3 linked regions of the Oryctolagus cuniculus genome follow. The protein of the gene in region 1 binds, or shares a complex with, the protein of each later gene. Links are inferred from orthologs where the notes say so. Each region holds a gene or a part of one and is shown in the gene's direction. Other genes may lie near its edges.

Region 1 (4,213 bases):
GACTGACTGTGGGAAATGTGAATAATAGGCTCCCATAGAAAATTGAAATAGGAAGGAAACACCGGGAGGCAAGAAAGGTATGGATGAGTGCAGCCTGGCCAAGTGCTCATCACCTTCCCCTGCAGTGTAGAAGCAAGCAGACAGGCTGAACACCTTTCCTGAATGCCTCTCACTGAACTATGAAGTAGGCAAAGGTCAGCCTGGCCTGCTGTTGTATTCGTTGTAAGCAGTATGATGAGACGTTGAAATTCATACTGTGTCAATCTGGAAAATCAATAAGAAAATAATAATGCACAGTGAAGGAAGAAACATGTACAACATAGATAGTACTCATATCCTTCAAAAGGGGTTCAAGGTCAAGCCACCCAGGCCTACTTTGGAAACAGCCTAAATCACTTTGGATGCACTCCTTGTTTGAAGCACTGGTTATCAAACTTCAGGGAACCAGCTAGTCAGCAGCCTGGGGACCATCCTAGAGATCCTGACTGATTATGTCTAGGGACAAGCCTGTGAACCTGAAGTTATTAACAAGCCCACCTGGTGGTTCCGACGCGGAAGTCCTAGATAGATCCTCTCTGAAGAGCAGTAGGTAAAATGGGCTCAGGCATGTGAGTTCCAAGCTTAATAATCACAGTTCTCACTGGGCACTTAAAAGACACTTAAGTGGAAAGAAAAATTTAGAAGTATGTAAGTTACCTTTGTGGCAGAACCTTTATTTTTAAACAAAAATCCGGGTATGATGTGTGTTCTTATATTTTATTAGTGGAATTGAAGGTTTGTGTAAGTAAGAGGCTGTGTTTGTTGTCTAGGAATTTGGAAGCCCCAGAGGTGCCAGTGTATTCGGTAAAGGGCCATAAAGAAATCATCAACACCATTGATGGGGTGGGTGGACTGGGAGTCGGCGAAGGAGCCCCTGAAATTGTGACTGGCAGTCGAGATGGTGAGTCGATGTAGTCTGTGCGTCTAAAACGAAGTCTCTGTGCAGCCTGCTGTCCATATGGCAATCCCCTCCCCGTCCCTACCACATTGCCTTGACCATGACATCAACAGTTTTGCCTCTGCTCTTTTCATAGGCAATTTGGATGGCGTATCCCTCAGTCGTTTCAGACTTTGGGGCATTTTGAGATAGAGGCATATAGCACGCACTATTTTAGTACCAAGTTAGTTCAACTAACAATGGTAGTTTGCTCTGAACCTTGAAGGATTTAAAATGTCTTTACAGGTTTTTGAGGCAGCTGACGATATAATGTGGGTGGCAGCTTTTCATTTTCTTTTTTTAAAAAGCAGAATTAGTACTTGTGAAAATTGTCATATTGACAGCTGGTTGGAAACTGAGGCTCCGAGCTCCCCGTGCTGGGTGTGGTAGAGCCCTCCAAGGGCGCTCCGAGCTCCCCGCACTGGGCGTGATAGAGGGCACTCCTGGCCTTTTTCATCTGCTGTGGCCAGTACTGGTTGGAATGACTGTGACCAAATCGCAGTTTGTATGGCTTCGTGAGGGATGCACGAGAGACTCGGTACCTTGGTTGGACTAGTTTTTTAACAACTATTCAAGACCATGAGGAAACTGATTTAAAATATAAATATATCATTTTAAAATAGTTAACAGCAGTTGTGTTTTAGAAATCAGTTGTTCTGGACGGGGACTGTAGCATAGCAGGTTAAGCCACTGCCTGCAATGCTGGCATCCCATATGGGCTCTGATTTGAGACCTGGCTGCTCCACTTCTGATCCAGCTCCCTGTGATGCACCTGGAAAAGCAGTGGAAGATGACCCAAATGCTTGGGTCCCTGCACCCACATGGGAGACCCAGAAGAAGTTCCTGGTTCCTGGCTTTGGACTGGCCCAGCCCTGACCGTTGTGGCCATTTGAGGAATGAACCAACTGATGGAAGACCCCTCTCTTTTTCTCTCTCCTCCCTCTCTTGGTAACTCTGCCTTTCAAATAAAGAAAATAAATCTTTAGAAAGAAAATAAATCTTTAAAAAGAAAATCAGTTGTTCTTCCAATCATAAAAGCAATATGGAACATAGAAGGCAAAATAATACTGAATTTATCACACTGCCCCAACCATTAGATTTTTATTTGCCTTTCCAGTTTTATATACCATTTTGTATATTTAGCAGTATGAATATAATTTCATATCCTTTTTGATTTAATGTTTTGTCATGTATAAATCCTGCTGTTTCCAGTTTTCGTATTATTTTAAGAACTATAATATTCCATTATATGACTGTGTCAATGTGCTTACCCATGCCACTGTTGGTAAGCATTCAGTGTACTTTAAGTTTATTGTTTTGTGAGACTGGTTTAAAAGTAATGAAGAAATGATTGTTGTCATTTATGTAACTCTTTTGGAATAAACATTTTATGGTTCTTAAAATTTAGTGTTAGACTTTCCAAAGTATCTGTGACGTTGTCAGGTACAATACATGAAGTAGATTTCCAACCTCCCCTAGTAGCATTGATTTCCTTTTTTCCCATAATTTTATAGATAAAACAGTACTCCATTCTAACTTGTATTAACTTTTGTCTTTGTTTGTTAGTTGGTTTTGGCTTGTGAGTTGTCTGTTTATATTCTTTGTTCATTTAGCTATTGGACACTTACTGTACATCTTATCAATTTGTATAAACCTTACAGTGTAAGATAACCTCTTGTTAACATTTGTGAGAAATGTTTTTCTTCTTAAGGCAGCCTTTTATTTTATTTTTATTTATTTATTTTTATTTTATTTTATTTTATTTATTTGAAAGTTACAGAGAAAGGTAGAGACAGAAGTCTTCCATCTGTTGGTTCACTCCCTAGATGGCTGCAATGGCCAGAGCTGTGCCAATCCGAAGCCAGAAGCCAGGAGCGTCTTCCGGGTCTCCCACGTGGGTGCAGGGACCAAGGACCTGGGCCATTTTCGACTGCTTTCCTAGGCCATAGCAGAGAGCTGGATGGGAAGAGGAGCAGCCAGGACTAGAATCAGCACCCATATGAGATCCAAAGCCAGGAGCCAGGTGCTTCCTCCTGGTCTCCCACATGAAGTAATTCTCTATTAAAATAATATTAGGATAGTACTCTATAGAGTATTACATGAAGTAATACTCTAAAACCCCATATAGAAACCATAGAGTAAACATTAGAGTATACTCATTTGTGTAAGAAACGTTGGAGCCTTGTGTAAGAAAGGTTGTGGCACAGCAAGCTAAGCTGCTGCCTGCAATTCTGCCATCCCACACTGGAGGGCCAGCTCGAGTCCCTGCTGCCCGGCTCTGGATCCACCTCCCTGTTACTGTGCAGAGGACGCCTGCCTCCCTGTTACTGTGCAGAGGACGCCTGCCTCCCTGTTACTGTGCAGAGGATGCCTGCCTTCCTGTTACTGTGCAGAGGATGGCTCTTCGGGCCCTGCCGCCCATTTGGGAGATCCTAGTGGAGTTCCTGGTTCCTGGGTTTGGCCTGGCAAGATTATCAATCCATCCATCCATCTTTCCAGCTATCTCTACCCCCCACCTCCCCTTCAAATCAAAACTGACCTTTAAAAAATAAAATTTTAAAAAGCATCAGTGATTACACAGATAGTAAGGAAAAAATTTTAAAATGACACCAGTATAATTCTAAATAATACATTAGTTTGTTTTAGGCTCAAAGAACAGAGGGCATGATTTGAATTATGTGACATTTGTGTTTGCCTGATCAATAGCTTGTAGATAACCTAGGAACAGCTGTTGCTTTTCTGTGTGTCCATTAATTTGGCAATCAAGTCAGACAGTAACATAGGAGTCATATCTTTGATATCAAATACATACTTCAAACTAATTAGAAGTTGGAGAAACTAGAATATTTTTCAGACGTCATAAACATCTGTACTGTTGCCATGTACACAGGGGGCCATAGGAAGAGAATGTGGGAAAGAAACATGACCATTCCCGAATGCATTTTGCCACCTTACTTTTATCCATGACAGGAACTGTGAAGGTGTGGGACCCGAGGCAGAAAGATGACCCTGTTGCTAACATGGAGCCTGTACAAGGGGAACACAAGAGAGACTGCTGGACTGTGGCGTTTGGTGAGTTACTGAGCAACGCTTGGGTTTTAAGGATCAGATGGTGAAAGGTCCACAGCCTCAGAAGATTCCTGATCGTCTCTGGACAAGCTGTGTTGTGGCTATTCTTTCTAATTTAAAAAAATTCTTTATTTCCTATTTATTTGAAAGGCAGAGATACAGCCCTGC
Region 2 (4,965 bases), on another chromosome or scaffold:
GTATTTAGAATTCTGTAAATATTAGGCAAGAACCCTCTTGGGCTTATTAATATTGCGGATTTATTAATAAGCATATGGTGAAATCGTATGGCACCCCAAATTCCGGTAGCACATGTGGCACCCCAGATAGCACTTCCGGGGAACTTTAAAGGGCTACATTTTTGTGTAGATTTTAGGGGGTCATGTCCGATTTCAGCTCCACTTCCAATCCAGCTCTCTGCTATGGCCTGGAAGACAGTAGAAGATGGCCCAAGTCCTTGGGCCCCTGCACCCGCATGGGCGACCTAGAAGAAGCTCCTGGCTCCTGGCTTCAGATCGGCACAGCTATGTCTGTCGCAGTCATGTCATGTGGGGAGTGAACCAGCGGGTGGAAGACCTCTCTCTCGCTCTCTCTCATTCTCTCCACCCCCTGCCTCTCTGTAATTCTGCCTTTCAAATAAATAAATAAATCTTTATAAAAAATACCCATTCTATGGCAAATAAAAACAGGGGCCTGCGCCGTGGCTCACTTGGTTAATCCTCTGCCTCGCAGCGCCGGCATCCCATATGGACACCAGATTCTGTCCCAGTTGCTCCTCTTCCAGTCCAGCTCTCTGCTGTGGCCTGGGAGGGCAGTGGAGGATGGCCCAAGTGCTTGGGCTCCTGCACCCTCATGGGAGACCAGGAAGAAGGCTCCTGGCTTCGGATTGGCACACCACCGGCCATGGTGGCCATTTGGGGAGTTAACCAACAGAAGAAGGACCTTTTCTCTGTCTCTCTCACTGTCTATAATTCTACCTGTCAAAGAAATTAAAAAAAAATAAAGAAGCCTGTTCTAAATTTCAGATAGACAGATACATGGAGAAACATAAAAATTTACCAGTCCAGACCTCATATAACTTTTCTTACTAGAAGACCCGATGAAAGATATGCTAGGGCTTAAAAAAAGCCACCAAGTACATCTATTAAGTCACACAATTTGTCTACATCTCATAAGTGCACTTAAGCATCTCCATAGAACATCGTGATTCCCAACACTGGAATATAATTTTCAAATATGTGGTCTCATATGCAAATATAAAATAAACACATATCATGGTTTTATTTAACTCATTAGTAAATGAGGAAACCAGTCAGATATGAAAATCAATTCAAAGAGCATTTGAAAAGCAAGGAATTTATCAGTCAAGAAATGTCAGACAGGACCTCAGTGTTACATACATAACTGATTAATGTCTTCCAGATAATAAATCATAACCTTGGAAGTATCTTATTGACCTAGTAGAAATTATTAGCATTTTTACCAGTCAAAAATCCACACGTTTGCCTCTGCTTTTGTCCCCTGCCTGCACCAGGTTGTAAAACAGTTCAGTTCATTGAAAGTCAATCCTAGAACAGCACTGAAAGAACATCAGGTAATCTCTTGCCTATTTCCAACTTTTGGTCATTTTTTTTTTTGCAAGAATGAGACATTACAAATATTGCATAGGATGTACACTAATAAAAGTATTCATTCACCTGAAATTCGTATAAAATTGTATTTAGCTGAAAACCCTAGTTACAAATTAACAAAAACTTTTCCAATTCTGTAGGGTTCGGTTGCCAACATTGTGTCTATGAAATCTGTGCTTTAGTTCAGGATCTGACTGGTTAATAACTAATTGGTGTTTCTACTGCGCGTCTGTTCTTTATTTGCACCAATAGGGGGCGCGTGTAACTTGTAGTCCAAGAGCCCACAAAAGTGTTTCTACCTCCGATCCGCTGGGGGTCGGCGTATGAATTGCTTAGATTTCGCAACCGGGCTCGAAACACTGGCGCTCTAGGCATTTGTGCGCATGCGTAGAACCGCTCTTGGCGAGGGGGCGGGGGCGTCAGGCCCGGACTGCGCAGGCGTTGGAGTGAGCGCGCGGAGGAGGTTGGTGAGACCTCTGCAAGGCAGGTGACGCTGCCGGCGCTGTGGCTGGGGCGGTCGGTGGTGGGACTCTCGGGAGCTCTGGTGAATCCTGCGTGTCTGCGGCTGGTTGGAGATGCCCGGCCGGGGCGTGCACCCGGAGGACAGCGCTGTGCCGGTCCCCGCCGGCGGCCGGACCTTACACAAGGAGGATCTTTGCAACAAGGTGGGCGTGGGACGCAGCGAGCAGGCCTCCCGGGCTTAGGACCCGGCGCCTGGGGCAACCCAGAGAGGGCCGGCCGCGAGCAGCGCGGGGCTTCGCTGGAGACGGCCTCGGCTTGCGCTGCTCTGCTGTTGGTAGCAGTCGGCACTTCCCCTTCCCTGGAAGTAGTCGCGCTAAGCGTCTTGTGGGCTGAGTTTCCGCGGCCCTTCCAGATCTGTAGCTCACCCCTTCCGTTACCCCTGCCAGCGGCATGGGCTCATCCTTGACGTCGGTCTACACCTGAAACCCACTTCCGGTACGAGTGTGACTTTAGTCCCGAGGACGCACGCTCCTGCGTCCCTGAACGAGCCGCCCTCATCGGCTGCCCCGGACCCCCGCAAAGGGCTCCCTAGCCCACCTGCTGCCTTCTCTGTTCCCCGCTGTAGCCGCAGTGGCCGCCCTAAACCTCGCACATCTGATTGTCACTCATCTGCGGAGAAAGAGGGGGAGGGGAGCCACTCTGATACTGACCTGAACTGCCGGAAACAGGTGCAACCTTTAAACGTGTGGAGGAGGGAGTTCAATGTCCTGCATTCTTCACTGGTTCTGCTCCAAGCTAGTAGTGGTGTCTTGGACAGACCTCTCTGTTCTCTCTGCATCACAGCTTCCTTCTTTGGTGGGAAGTGAAATACAGACCTGACATCCCTAAACTGCACAAGAAAGCACTGTGGTACAAGCGTTAAGTCTCAAAGAGGGGGAGGGTATAGTTTCAACCTTGGAAGTCAGCCTTATCCTGTCCCTTCTGCAGCTGTGTCAGCTCTGGAGACAACAAGGGGGAGACTCATGGGGCAGGGAGTGAATTTGCAAAATACAGCCCACTCTGCTGCCGACCTATGGCAGATCCCTCAAGTGTGTGGTGCAGTGTAAAAATCTTACATCTGGTTTTAGAGGCGCTGGTGATGTTAGGTAATAGATCGTGTTCATAAAATAGCCAGTTACTAGAAAGTATCAGAAAGTTTGCACTTACTTGAGTTCTCTCCTGAAATTGAAAAGTGAAGCCAGCACTGTGCAAAGAAGATTGATGCCAAGACAGGGGGATTTAGAACTACTTGGTTAAAAGGACTGTCTAGCCGCACCATTTAGTACACAAATCGTCAGAGACTGGTATTACTTCTGGTGCATATCGTCTGTTTGTATAGGCCTTGTTCAGTAACTGTGGCCACAGGCATGAAGGCCGGTTGCCAACATCAAACCCACTGGCTGGGCTCCGTGGGTTGTGTGACATTTAGATGTCTAATGCCCATTTCCCCCTCCACCTGTGCACACATAGACTGGAAAGAATCTTCTCAGACTGCCCATTTGGACAATCAGCGCATGATACCTTCTTACGCCATCTGCCTAATTTTAAAGCCGTCATCTAATTGAACATGTTTTTAAGAGTTAAAATTCTGTTTTAAGCGTTTCTCTTTATTTCAGTAGATTAAAGAACAAAAAGTCGTTGTGGATGAACTTTCTAACCTGAAGAAGAACAGGGTGAGTTATAGAAATTCTGAATAGTATGTGGGAAGCTTGGTTATATTTATATTATATAAAATCATAAAAGTTGTATGGAAGGTTTATATAAAGGTTGACAAGTTTTCGGCATCTCTTTAAATTGCAAAAGCCCAGTGCCTACGTTTATTTTAAACTGTACGTACATAGATCTCATAAAGCTGAAGATGTCTCTTCCTTTTCATATGCCATTTACACGACCTTTAAAGCTAATGACGCAGATTGGATTTTGGTATCTTCAAGCTGTACCACTAATGTAACTATTTTATGCTTGAATTTGGTGTGTATTTTTGAAATAAATGAACTTAAAGTTTATTGAGAAGAAACTATCCCTTAAAGTAAATGTTGAACAAAAAATTACTTCTCTCACCGCCCCCCCAAAATCTTCTCAGTGCTTAGCATTATTTTTAAATGCAATTTCTGTGTATATATTCATAAGCAAGCCATCTTTGTTGCTTCATGTGTAGTTATACATTAAACTACATTAAAATTACATTTTAATGTTCAGGAGTAAATGACTTTGAGCTCTTTCAAGCGCCTAAAGATTATAACTGACAGATTAGACATTTCTGATATTGTTGCCAGCTACAAAGATGTCCATCACAACACTGATCTATAATACTTGAGGGACAGTAATACCTTAAATGTCTAACATTTGAGGATTGAGCAAATAAATGTAGTATGTCATACGATGATATTATAAAGGAATACATATTGATAAGAAAAAGTGTTCTTGATATAGTCATTGTAAAACTATAGATGATAGTAGAAGCCTTTTTTATTAAAATAACAGTGGTATTATGGTTTACAAGGGAAAAAAACAAGTTTCACCTCACTGGTAATGATAATAGTGTCTGGGTGGCAGGATGGTTGGTAACTTTTATTTGTCTCTTTGTTATCTGTATTTACTAAAGTAAATTCCCAAAGTTTACAAGTATGTAGTAGTAGGATTCAAAGATTTGACATCTTTTTAGATCATATCTTGAGTTTGGCCTAAATTCTGTTTTGCAGAGAGTATACAGGCAACAGCAGAACAGCAATATATTCTTCCTGGCAGACCGCACAGAGATGCTCTCTGAAAGCAAGAGTAAGTTGGGTTCCTCTTTGTTTTCAGACTTTACATGAGGGGTGGGGAACATCAGCCCCTTGGCTGCATAAGGCCCACCAACTCATTTGGTCTGGTCCTGCCAAGGCAACTGTAAGTGAACTCGAAATCTGATAAATCTATAGCAGGCTGATTTTTAAGATGATGGTTTTGTGTGGCCCACAAATGAAGTTATAAATGTCCAAATGGCCCTTGGCAGAATAAAAGTTCCCCGGCCATGTCTTACATGGGAAGACA
Region 3 (4,706 bases), on another chromosome or scaffold:
TTAAAAAAAAAATCACACTAAATGTAATTTTAACTATAACGTGAAATTTAAAAAAAAAGTATGAGGGTACTTCAGAAAGTTTATGGAAACGAATTAAAATGTAAATTTATTCTGGTGCGAAAAACTTTTGAAAGCCATGCATACACGGAGTCTTCAAAAAGTTCATGGAAATTGCACACTATGAAGAAATTATAAATGGATTTCAAAAATTTTGAACCAAACCAATCTTATTTTTCTTTACGTTATTTATTTATTTTCATTTTATTTGAAAGTCAGACAGAGTGATCTTCTATCCTCTGGGATACTCCCCAAATGCTGGCAAAAGCAAGGACTAGGCCAGGCTGAAATAAGGAGTCCAGAACTTCATCTGAGTCTCTTACATATTTTACGGGACCCAACTATGTCAGTCATCATCTGCTGCCTCCCAGGGTATGCATTATCAGAAACCTGGATCCAAAGTGAAGGAGCTGGGACTCGAACCAGGCACTCCACCAACATGTGATGCTAGTGTTCCAAGCAGGGACTTAACCACGGTTTAATTCTATTTTCCCACAAACTTTTAAAAGAACTCTCATGTCAAAACAAAACAAAACAAAACAAAAAAAAAAAAAAACAAAAAAACTCAATGTTCCTTTTACAGTCACTTTTTCCTGAAGGCAAAGAAAAGCTTAACAAACAGGTTTGAGAATTTGGAAAGGACAACCGAACTTTTACACGCAAATTACTTGGGAAGACTTCACAAGTAAGGGTAAGGACTCTAGGCTCTAGATATGGGAATAGCATTTGGGGGTGCGAGCATCTGAATTCTCCTCTGGGCTCAGGCCAGGACTTGCTGGGTTAGATGCTAAAGATGCAAAATACAGGCATTCAATCACTTGAGTGCATACAAAGAAAAAGCTTGCCCATTTAATTAAACACACGGGATTATTCCTAAGTACAAAATAGCAGATCTTTTGCAAACGACTCAGGGACCCTCCATTTGACTAATAAAATGAGATGCTTACACATAGTATTGCCAATCTCTGCTTAGCTCCAGTCATAGATTGTGGGCCACAGAGCTGCAATCCTCAAAGAGGAATTCTAGAAAAATGCGTCTCCATTAAAAAGTTTTTAAATGCTCATACTCGTTCCCATCACCGGGAGTGAAACGCGAACCTCTCGGGTGAAGTCAAGATGTGACTTGCCTGTCCGCCTCCCAGGCTCTGCCTTTTAAATACTAAACGCTTCATTCCCTAGCTCTACCTCCACCTGTGCGTTCTACCTCCCCTGGAAACCGCCAAATCCACAAAAGCCGCGAACAGTCCCCACAGGCTCCACGCGCTGCTTGTGCAGTTTCCAATAGGCTAGTTCATTGCCAAAGGATCTCTGCTCCCACGCCCTACAGTCCTACCTGATCTCCTTTGATTCAGTAAAGCCCTGACCTTCTCTTTTTCCCCTTGGCGGGTCTTACTTCCTTTCAGGACCGCCCCTCCCCACCTGCTTATTTGGTTGGTCAGCGCGCTTGTTATACGTCATTCACCCGCGCCACCCGGAAGCCGCGGTTATACCAACCCGTTCTTATCGCCGGCGGCCCTCAGGTAAGGGCCGCATTTTGGTATCCCTGGGTGGCCGAGTCCTAGAGTTGGGAAGGGCAGAAGGCGGAACCCCCAGCAGGACCCGAACGTGCCCATTTCCCAACGTTGAGAGGGTGGAGATGACCTGCATGAGTCCATACTGAAGTGGTCAACGTGGTCTTCCCTCTGCTCATTCCCCAGGAGCCCATAATGGAGACGCCCCCTAAAGGGCGGGTGGTTGAGGCCACGGGAGAGAAAGTTCTGCGCTATGAGGCCTTCATCAGTGACGTGCTGCAGCGGGACTTGCGGTGAGTGACAGCGAGAGGGGCGGGGCCTTCAGAATAGTCCACGTGGTGGGTGGGGCGTTTAAAGTCGGGGGCCAAGCCTTCAGATTGGTGGGCGAGACGTTCGGAGCCCGTCACCACGCGCCATTCGAAGGGGAAAGGAGGAGCGACTTCCGGGGTGCGATTTGGCTAGGACGTGGCGTTCATAGGGCGTGTCTGCGCATGCGCGGTCCCGATGTTGCTTAATGGATTAAGGGCCAAATTCCAGATCCACAGTTCTGGGGTTTGAGTTCTGGCTCGGCTACCTGCCATCCGTGTAAACATCGCACCTTGCCCCTCCTTTCTGTGCCTTATAAATTTCTCAAATCAGTAAAATGAGGAAGTTTATTACGGAACCTTATTCATGCAGTGGTTGAGTTTAAAAAAGTGTGATGCCTGAAATATGTTAAAGGTTCAAGGAATGTGAAAAGCTATTATTACTAATCTGAGCAGGAAGTAAGGCTTAGACTATGAGCATCCCGAAAGGGGTGGAGGATTTTTCTAGGGTGAAGATGAGACATAGAGATTGACATTTGGGAGTAAAGTGTAATAATAGTAAGAGCTAACACGTATATAAAGCTTATCATTTGGAAGACATCATTCTAAGTGTCTTATAGTAAACATTCATTTAATCCCAGTGCCTCCGTGAGGTTAGAATGCCACTCCTATTTTGTAGATGAGAAAACTGCATATAGAACAGTTTACTTAGTGAAGTCACACCACTAGCAAAGGGTAGAACCCAGATTCAAACCCAGGCAGTCTGACCCAGTGTCCAGAATTTTAACTTCTACACTAAAAGGCCTACTTAGAGCATGGTAACTGGAGCACCTCAAAGAATCATGGTATAAGGTTTCCCAAGGAGGACAAAGCTGCCTGTTGGTCACCATTTGTACTTTTGTCCCATCAGAAAGGTGCTGGACCATCGAGACAAGGTATATGAGCAGCTGGCCAAATACCTTCAGCTAAGAAATGTCATTGAACGACTCCAGGTAGATATATCATGGTTGGGTACTGTTTTTTTTTTTTTTTTTCATTTGGTTTTGGTATGTGTGTGATGGGGGGAGCATGGGAAGGAACTGAGAAGAGAGACCCTAGACCAAAACCTGTCACCTGACCTACAAATTGACCACTGACCCCTACCTCTTTTTCCCTGGCCCCACAGGAAGCTAAGCAATCGGAGTTATATATGCAGGTGGATTTGGGCTGTAACTTCTTCGTTGACACAGTGGTGTGAGTGTCTACCCGCCCTTCTGAGCCCTTCCTTCATGCAAGATATTTTTTTTTTACCATCTTCTATGTACCAAACACTGTGCTAGATTTTACATACCTTAGGACATAACCTAAGTACTGGGAATATGACAAGAAATAAAATAGAATAAAGTCCCTGTCTTCCCAGAGTCTCAATTTGGGGAAGGGGAGGGAGTAAAAAATTAACTAAACTGTATGGTATGATAAACAGTAATAAGGATGTCTTCCACTTCCTCTAACCTCTCTCTCCTCAGCTCAGATACTTCACGCATCTATGTGGCCCTGGGATATGGTTTTTTCCTGGAATTAACACTGGCAGAAGCTCTCAAGTTCATTGATCGTAAGAGCTCACTCCTCACACAGTAAGTGCATTCTTGAAGGTAGTATCTAAAACACCCCACCATTTTTTTAAAGAATTTATTTATTTTATTTGAGAAGTAGAGTTACAGACAGTGAGAGGGAGAGATAGGGAGAAAGGTCTTCCTTCTGTTGGTTCACTCCCCAGATGGCTGCAACTGCTGGAGCTGCGCAGATCCAAAGCCAGAAACCAGGTGCTTCTTCCAGGTCTCCCACGTGGGTGCAGGGGCCCAAGCACTTGGGCCATCTTCTATTGCTTTCCCAGGCTATAGCAGAGAGCTGGATTGGAAGTGGAGCAACCGGGACTAGAACTGGTGCCTATATAAGATGCCGGCGCCACAGGTGGAGGATTGACCTGTGCCATTGCATTGGCCCCAACACCCCACCATTTTCAACACTCTTCTCCCTTAAGTTAGAGACCTACCTCCGTTCCTCCTCTGGGCTGTAGCTGAGGAAAGGGGATGCAAAGTTCAGCCCCAGGTATAGCACATAATAAACACTCCAGTAAGGGAGCTTTGTATCATTCATTCACACAAACATATTGGGCATCTTCTGTTTACCACACTCTGTGCTTGACAGTGGAGATGCCCCAGGGAACAAGACAGAAGAGTTTCTTGAGAGCTTACATTCTAGAGGGACTGTATTATTAGACCTAAATACAACTATGACCGGATCCATGAGGCCTCAGCCTGTAAATCAGTAACAGTAAAACAGGTTACCTCTAATTTAACATGTTCATTTTCCTGCTCATTGCTGTGCTCTTGCCACAGTGACTTGCACATGCTGCTTTAAATGTCCCAAGAATGCTCTCACCTCAGGGCAGATGCCATGGCTGTTTTCTCTGCTTGCAGTGCTCTTTCCCCAGTACTCCTGTGGCTTCTTTTCTCCTCACTCCATTGTCCTGCTTAAATGTGTTTTCCTCAACAAAGTCTTTCATAACCTAACTATATAATTGCAACCCCTAGTAGTCTTTGATTCCCCTCTCTTGTTCTTTTTTCTTTTCTACCTAGCATTTGTCACTTGCTAATATTTACTGTGTAATTTATTTCTTACTCATACATATCATCTCCTCCAGTTAGGATGTAAGCTTTACAAAGGGAGAAACTTTGTCTAGACCTCAGGTGATTAGAATACTACCCAGCAGGTAGCAGACCCTCTGTGTTTGTTGAATGAATTACTGAAGCAGTGAATGGAACAGATCTATGTTGGTGGTGATGGGGAGAGA

The links. Proteins that work in one complex are often made in the same cells at the same time.
Region 2: DNAAF10 (region 1) and ASDURF share a complex: the UniProt entries of both Homo sapiens proteins name them as parts of the PAQosome complex. The link is inferred for Oryctolagus cuniculus from reciprocal best matches to the Homo sapiens genes DNAAF10 and ASDURF.
Region 3: DNAAF10 (region 1) and UXT share a complex: the UniProt entries of both Homo sapiens proteins name them as parts of the PAQosome complex. The link is inferred for Oryctolagus cuniculus from reciprocal best matches to the Homo sapiens genes DNAAF10 and UXT.

The regions. Positions count from the first base shown.
Region 1 is NC_091433.1:134,467,195-134,471,407, forward strand, and holds part of DNAAF10 (dynein axonemal assembly factor 10), read left to right. Parts: intron 1-809; coding exon 810-940; intron 941-3,946; coding exon 3,947-4,048; intron 4,049-4,213. UniProt on the Homo sapiens protein: Key assembly factor specifically required for the stability of axonemal dynein heavy chains in cytoplasm.
Region 2 is NC_091434.1:50,691,396-50,696,360, reverse strand, and holds the start of ASDURF (ASNSD1 upstream open reading frame protein), read left to right. Parts: upstream 1-1,808; 5' UTR 1,809-2,006; coding exon 2,007-2,096; intron 2,097-3,551; coding exon 3,552-3,605; intron 3,606-4,634; coding exon 4,635-4,710; intron 4,711-4,965.
Region 3 is NC_091453.1:33,164,360-33,169,065, reverse strand, and holds the start of UXT (protein UXT), read left to right. Parts: upstream 1-1,549; 5' UTR 1,550-1,577; exon of another isoform or gene 1,578-1,754; 5' UTR 1,755-1,763; coding exon 1,764-1,861; intron 1,862-2,783; coding exon 2,784-2,865; intron 2,866-3,038; coding exon 3,039-3,106; intron 3,107-3,378; coding exon 3,379-3,486; intron 3,487-4,706. UniProt on the Homo sapiens protein: Involved in gene transcription regulation. Acts in concert with the corepressor URI1 to regulate androgen receptor AR-mediated transcription. Together with URI1, associates with chromatin to the NKX3-1 promoter region.